Linked DNA regions of Oryzias latipes. The protein of the gene in region 2 purifies or fractionates together with the protein of the main gene of each other region. This does not show direct contact. Links are inferred from orthologs where the notes say so. Each region holds a gene or a part of one and is shown on either strand. Other genes may lie near its edges.

Region 1 (3,819 bases), on a different chromosome or scaffold from region 2:
AAGTTTGGATTTGTTAACCGTCATGATGCAGATACATTTACCCCTTTTTTTTTTTTAAACAATTCCTTTTTGATTTCTTTAAAATAAATTTGATCTGGCCAAACGAGACAGAAAAATTCTACTGATCCACATTTTCACAAACAGCATTTAAATTTAACATAATGTGAACTAACCCAGGATGAACTCACCTTTATATCCTCCTCTTCCTCTCCCTCCTCTTCCTCGTGGACCTCCACCTCCACCTCTCTTCCTCCCATCTGTCCGTCTGGGTAAAGTCCCGCCTCCTGTCATTAGCTCCTCAGTGGGGGCCAGTGACCAATCGCTGAGCTCGTCTCTGTGGTCCGACTCTGTCTCTGAAGCGTTGGAGGCCTCCGAGTTTGTGCCTGACCCCCCAAGAAGAAAAGTCAAACCAACGCCACGGAGAGACGAGGCGCCACTTGAGGGTCCTACCTGAAGTGAATGAAGCCCCCGCCCCTCGCCGCCCGCGTCCGCCTCTTCCTCCCGAGTAGGGCTTCCCTCCTCCTCGGCCCATCCCCAGACCCATGCCGTTATCGAACACGTAGGCTTTGTCTTTGGGGTTCCGGGGTCCCGACCCCCCTCCACTGCCTCCGATCTGTCGGAGCTGCTCGTCGATCTGGAGACGCTCCATGCGCAGCTGGTCCACCTCCTGAGGAGCGGAGGAGGAGGAGGAGGAGGAAGAGAAGACTTCTCATTGTGTGACGCCAAAAATCAATTAGCAAGAAACTATAACCAGCGAATTTCTGCTCAAATGTTTTATAGAAAGGATCAAAGAGGAAGGAGGTCTTTCTTATTGGAACGCTCCCCAAGAATCATTTGTTATTGAGTCACAGGATGAATAAAGTATCGGCAGGGCTCCACAACCTTTTTTAGTTGTCAGTTTAATGTCAGACAATATTTTCACGGACGAGAGAAAAGTCGGCATCTGATCACTGTTTTAGATTCCAATTTCTCCAAACTTTTGAGGGTAAAATGTCTCTCTATCCTCTGTAAAACCTCTGCAACTCATTTAAACTTTATTTATAAAGTAGATCTCACGTTGGAACCATTCAAACATGATATAGATTTTCCCCTAACCCATAACTGTCAAAGTGGAAGCTAAAAAAAAAAGCCTCGTCTAACTTTTAAGGTCCGATAATTAAAAAAAAGTTAAAAAACGGTCTCGAAGACTTATTTTCTATAAATGATAGGAGTCGTAAATCTACTGCTTGAGCAACTTAATTAGCAGCATCCTCAACATTAAACAGCCAGCTGCTGAATAATCTGCATCATTATTATAGTCAATGGGAACAAATATTGCAAAAATGTATTTAGAGTAAAGATTCCTTGTTTTCGTCTGTTAAATGCAGCTTTCTATTATTTTGAAAAAAAAAAAAATTGTTAGAATTCTTCGTCTCCAAACATGTTTCTTTCTTTTTTTCCTTTGCTATCTTAGCGGTCTCGTTTTAGCGGTCGGTGCATCCACTTCAGAAAGTAGCGGATGGATCTGACACGTGACGAGCGACCTATGCGTCAAAAATGAGTCAGATGTGGAGGAGAGAATCCAGTAGTTTTTCAAAATAAAACTTCCTTCAGAATCAAATCATAAATAAAATGTTTTTTTCCCTCTCTCTTTTATTTCCCCCCGGGGTTTGGGGACGGCTGCCGTACAGGTTGGTTTCACAGACCTTCAGGTAGTTGAGGTGATAGTCCAGCAGAACTGTTGCGTTGGAGATGCTTTCCTTGGTTCCCACAAAAACGAACGGCACCATTCCCTGCAGAACACAAGGTTGAAATGTTTATAAGCTTTTGCAGGATCATAGAAAAACGGTTGTTGATATTTTTGTCAGCTTTCTGTTCCTCCTTACTTCGTCTGCTGACGCCGCCGCCGCTGCTGCTGCTGCTGCTAACGGCTTCTTGTCGTTCTCGGGCTCGATGCGAACTCGCACCACGCCAGACTTATCCACCACTTCCTGGATCAGCTTACCGCTTTTTCCGATCACCTTCCCTGCAGAGAGATGAAAATCAGTCAGCTGATGACTTCCGGACTGAAGCCTCATAAACAGCGTGGGAACAGTGGGTCGTTGCCTCACCTACTAAGTTGCGGGGAACTTTGATGACATCTTCAGAAAACTCCAAGAAACTCCTGGCTATTCTCACAGCATCCTGCTCCTGGGGGGGGGAACGGAAAATGGTCTCAGGGAACCGTCTTTGACTGAAACACCACCGTCGGGAGAAACCATCAGCAAACCTCTCCGTAAATGTGGAACGTGCAGGTCTCCTCGTCCAGGTCGATGTTTGTGACTCCAGGAACTTTGCGAGCCTGCTGGATGTTGGCGCCGTGAGTCCCGATGGCCAGACCCATTAGATCTTCCCGAACCGTGAACTGCTCGTGAAAGCGCGACGCCAGCTGCCTGGAACTCTGGGAACAAAACAAAAAAAGACACAAATGAAGCCGTGTCGGAATGTCGGTCCAAAGCAGACGTGCAGCGTTTTTCATGCACTCACCTCTAGCTGCCTGTTGGCCTCCTCGTTCCGCAGCATGAGCGTCAGTTTGGTGCGGAGGCTCCGGAAGTGCATGTCGCTCATCATGTTGGCCCGCTTCAGTGTGACCTCATTCACTGACTGTGGACACATTAAAGGAACCGTCAGACACAAGTCGTCACACTTATCTGGAGTTTTTGGAGAGCCCATGACTGATTCCGACGGTTTGGATCGCTGCCTTTTCATGCAAGGTGCGTTGTTCTTTGTCAGTGAAGTCGATTCAGTCACCTTTTATTTCATGATACATGTTGGAACCAGACGTCGTCAGTAAGCAGTGATTGGACCAAGTCTGAGTTTCTATGGCAACCACTCTCACCAATCAGGAGTGAGCTTGTTGAAAGTCCACACCCCTACCATGTGACAGCGGCCTACACGAAATCTATCAAATGTTGCTCTTGGAGGGGCCAGCAGGCACTACCTACTTTTATTGCGGGCATCTGATTGGCCAGTTTATAACCTAAATAACTTGAACTACAAGGACAAATATCATGAAGAAGAAAAAAGAATAGCAAGAAAATGTTACATAGAAAGTAGCAGAACATGAATGGTTATTTATGTCCTAATAGAAGTTTATGGGATTTTGGCTTCCTGGAGTTGGCAGGTACTTCCTCTTTGGAATGCCAAAGGGGAGGGGTCACTCACTCCAGTTCTCATTTACAGTCGTGGTTCGTGCCAAGTCAACCACCGTCAGTCACACCAGATTTTAATTATTTACAGCACTTTATTTAGGCATTAAGTTGTTGACTGACAGTTCCTCTGTTGTCACTTATCCCCTCATGGTTTAGTTCTGCCACAGTCCTGGTTCTGTTTCATGTTCTGTTGGTTTATTTATAAAACCTCTTATGTTGCAGCCAGGCCATCTCATTACTTCTGTGTTGGAATTGTCCACAACCAGCGTTCCTGACGGCAAACAAGGCACTCGTGTCGCCAGAAGAGGTCTTAACAACAGATTGACTGGATCTCGGTCGACTCTGAACGTACACCAGAGAAAAAGCTGAACAATCGATGACTTTAGAAGACATAGTGTGTGGTTACATTACCCAACGGTTTTATCCACTTTATTTGAAACCAGAGATTTACATCTGTGGTTTTGGAATAATAGTAACAAGTGGGATATCAAAGTCAATGCTTATTACTGTTGTAAAAAAAATGGACCATTTTACAGTTTAATGAAATGGGAGCCGATATGCTTTTGTTACTTCCCACCTAGGAGTAATTTGGTGAACAAACCTGGTTTTTCCTTTTAGCTGAGATTTAACCCAGAAGTTAATAGATTGT
Region 2 (3,819 bases):
TTATTAGACGTCTTTGCAGATGAGATGTGGGGCTTTACTTTGTTTTACTTTGAATGATGTTGCTCCAAGTGCAGAATCATGAAGATGTTCACCCACCATCCACAGAGAAAGCCCCCATTTTGGATTCCAGAAAGTCAAACAGAGTGCTTGGACCAGAAGGTCTTCCTCCAACCCCATCATCCTCGTCTTCGTTTCTGGATCTGCCTCTTCCCTTTCCTCTTCCTGAAGTCAAAATTAAGCATACAGCTCAGGTGGAGGGGGGGCTAAACAAAAACCACCACTTTACAACTTGAGAAACGTAAACGACTTTCTGAATTGATTTTGTTGTGGTTTGTGTACGAACCTCTGGGTTGGGACTTGTTTGATTCAGCCACCGTAGAGCCGGGTCGGCCACCAGAACTTCCGGTCAGTAGACTGTTTAGAGCCACTTCAACATTGTTGTTATTATCCAGCAGAGCTTGTCGAGCTGCCTCTCTGTCAAAGCCCATTTCCATGAGGTCTCTCAGAGCACGTTCGTCCACCTGCCCACCAACCACACGGAGCACAGTCAACAATCAAAAAACACCAAAGACGGGAAAAGTGTATAGCTTTGGAGAGAAGGAGTAGACTCATGGCTAGCAATAAATACGATGCATGAGGAACACCTCCCCTTTTTTTTTTTAAATCTAGCTTAAATTACAGGGTAGTGCATATTTCAATTTAAAAAGGTAGGCCTAATAAAAACAGGCTTATGTCTTCACGGGTTTAGATGTGTTGCAACACACATCTAAACCCGTGAAGACATTTATGTGTTCAGCCTAAAGCGGGACAATTACAACTTCATGATGCAAAGCAACAAAAAGAGACAAATGAACTCCAGCTTAGTTTAAAAACCAGACGGACCTCAAGTTCATTTACATTCTTTAACATTGGTCAATGTGTCAGACGACCTCTAAACGATGAAACAAGACTTCAGTTCAAAAATGTGAAGAAATAAAGAAGAGCAACCTGCTGCCTCCTTTAACGGTGCAAGGAGGCATTACTATTGTCAGGAAATACCCATGTATTGAACTTTAAACGTTAAAAAAAGTATAAATGTTGGTCATCTCACCAGCTCTCTGTAGTTTCCCTCTGGTCTGCTTTCTGTCTTTTCAAATTTGTCTTCACGTCTCCTTTGCTGGTTGGCATCTCTGCTTCGGGAAGAGGAGGCAGCGTTGGATAAATTACTGCCCGCATTCCCGCCGCCACCAAAGCTGCGGGGACCCTAACAAGGAAAGAGGAAGACAACAGTTGTGATCATGGGAAGCCGGGAAAAAGGAGAAAGAAAGGAAAATAAAGAAGAATATTGCTGTTGACATTGTAATTATAAGTTCTTCTTCTGATGAATGTTAAGAAGGTCCATTTTTTTAAACAACGAAGGTTAATGCAAATGTCAACAAACTGCATGTATTTGAGCTGGTAACCAAAATAGGTGGTGCATCATTTGAGAAAATAGAATTTAGTTTAAAGAATACAGTTTGTCTAAAGGCATTAAAGATGTGATGAGGAAGGATGTAAATAATGAAAATCCTGTTTTTTTCAATGTGCTTTCAGTTTTGTTGTTAAAGGGGTAAAAATGTGTTTTTAAAAAAATGTATAACCGCTTTGAAGAAAAAACAGCTACATGAGCATTTAGATTCCTTTCAAATAAAATAGCTACCCTCATTCTGGAAGATTAATTTTAAGCTTCAGAAAGCACCCAAAAGGGGTTACTGCATTCACATAAAATGGAAATCAGTGGAACACCAACACAGATTAAGGCTGCGTGATATTTGTGGGCGGAACTGTTGGGGCAGAGGAACCTCGCCCCTCTTTCCCCCGCCCATTGCTGGGTTTACATTCTCTCCCACTAGATTACAGCCCCTCAAACCCCCAGCCTAACATTACCGCTGCAATAAAAACTGGCAAGCAATTTTAGAGCTATTCAGCCGTGCAGTTCTGAGGCAGATTCCAGCTCCGATGAGTAAAAACAAAGTGTATTTGGATCTATTTGTCTGCAAGTGGATTGATCAGAATATAGAGGGGCAGGGGCTTAATTTTCCTTATATAAGTCCTCCATTGTGAGAAAAATGCCACAAGAACTCGTTAACAATATCAGAAAAACAAGTTTCATCGAAGCTTTAAGATTCTTCTATTTTTAGATTACTGCTAACACAGATTTTTAAGCTCTCTTGATACCTTTGTTGTGTGTTTTAGTAATTAATGTGAAACCGTAAAGTGACCGTAAAACATTGACAAACCTCTTTTGTCTTGGCCACCTCGGCGATCGCCGCTGTTCGCTGCTTTTCAAACTCGTCGTTCTCGTCGGGACTCTTGACCACATTCTGCGTCTGGAGGGTTTTCCTCTGGTCCAGTTCTCTGCTGTCTACCTCGTCCTTCCGGGCACACTTCTGCTCCGAGGACAAACACAGATCTCTGTTAGTCGTTTGAACAAAGAAACACTGTAACACAATACAGAATGGTGTCAAAACCAATTTAAATACATTTCCTTGGTGATATGCAAATATCAGTGATACACAACAGCTCAACAATAGAGAAAAAAGGAATTCAAAGGAAATGCCAAATTTTCACACAATTTAAAAGAGACTATATTTCTCAAAGAAGTTTAGAATATTTAGAGTTTGCAGAAAAATGGGCCATATCTTCTACAACTCAGACTTTCTAATGTCTTGTGCAACAAACTGAAAATAAGTCTGGTTCTAGTAAAGCACAGAGCAGATTTACTCAAAGATTTCTTCAGCTGTAGACAAATTCAAAAAAATGGAATTGGATAAAAAAGGATTCCTAGAGACAACATCCAGATATTAAACACATTAGGAATGCAAAGTTGTAAATTAAAAAAAATGTCAATTCCAGAGCAGATAAAGATGCTAAACCTTGACACAAAATCACTCACATTTTAACCTTTTAAAACACACAAAATTAAAAGAAAAATTAAAAAATAAAAGCATTTATGCTTTTGTTTCCACTTTTAAACTTTGAATAGAAAGCAACTATTTGTCAATTTAAAGTGTACAAGTGGACACGTACGCTATATTACCCACTTAAAGATTACTCACAGAAACATGCCATATTTTCTTTCTTTGCTGTTTTTCTTTTAAATTCCAGACACTTTTGTATAAAACCCTAATGCAGCATTTGCACCACGGGTTATAGGTAAGGCCCAAAGCTGAACTGTAGATCTGTCCAACTATTTCAAAGATTTATGAAGACAATGCTTCAAAAGATCAAAGGAAACACTGCGGGGAAAAGAAACTCAAGGCCAGACCTGTCTGACTTGTTGAATACCTTCATCATTCCCAGCTTTCCTTAAAGCTGCGGCTGAAATTCCATTTCTTAAACATCCGTGCTTAAAGCTGGCCTTTTCTAGACACAAGTTGAAGTTTGTTTAAAAGCGTGCAGGACTTTTTCGCACCTGACCAAATGGTACAAAGGGAGGTGGGCCCCCTTCTGCTCCGATGTTGCTCCTGCTGTGTTTTGCCAAACTCTGCAAGGTGAGGAAGAAAGACAACTCCATGTTCAAAGCTATGTAAGCCCAAATGAAATAAAAAGAGCAATGATTGCTAAAATTAGATATTGTCTTTTAAGCCAAAAAAAAAACAATCTCACCCTTTGGAGCTCCCATTTCTCCACCATGTGCTCAACTTCTCCTCCAAGGACTAAGATGTTTGAATCTTCAAGAAGCAAACAACCATTTTTAACCTGGACTGTACCAAGAAGCTTCACCTTTGTTCCGGGGGGTGTATTCAGACTGAAAAGGACAACAAAACAATGCTTAAATAAGACATGTTTTAGCAAAGC

Evidence for each region.
Region 1: the proteins of tdrd3 (region 2) and fmr1 purify together in Homo sapiens (affinity purification with mass spectrometry; 4 studies listed by BioGRID and IntAct, with this or other methods). This does not show direct contact. The link is inferred for Oryzias latipes from reciprocal best matches to the Homo sapiens genes TDRD3 and FMR1.

The regions. Positions count from the first base shown.
Region 1 is NC_019868.2:25,375,549-25,379,367, reverse strand, and holds part of fmr1 (synaptic functional regulator FMR1), read right to left. Parts: intron 2,623-3,819; coding exon 2,506-2,622; intron 2,420-2,505; coding exon 2,249-2,419; intron 2,170-2,248; coding exon 2,091-2,169; intron 2,006-2,090; coding exon 1,866-2,005; intron 1,773-1,865; coding exon 1,686-1,772; intron 668-1,685; coding exon 451-667; intron 384-450; coding exon 189-383; intron 1-188.
Region 2 is NC_019861.2:15,649,176-15,652,994, forward strand, and holds part of tdrd3 (tudor domain-containing protein 3), read right to left. Parts: intron 3,770-3,819; coding exon 3,628-3,769; intron 3,506-3,627; coding exon 3,434-3,505; intron 2,409-3,433; coding exon 2,259-2,408; intron 1,244-2,258; coding exon 1,091-1,243; intron 522-1,090; coding exon 344-521; intron 223-343; coding exon 97-222; intron 1-96. UniProt on the Homo sapiens protein: Scaffolding protein that specifically recognizes and binds dimethylarginine-containing proteins. Plays a role in the regulation of translation of target mRNAs by binding Arg/Gly-rich motifs (GAR) in dimethylarginine-containing proteins.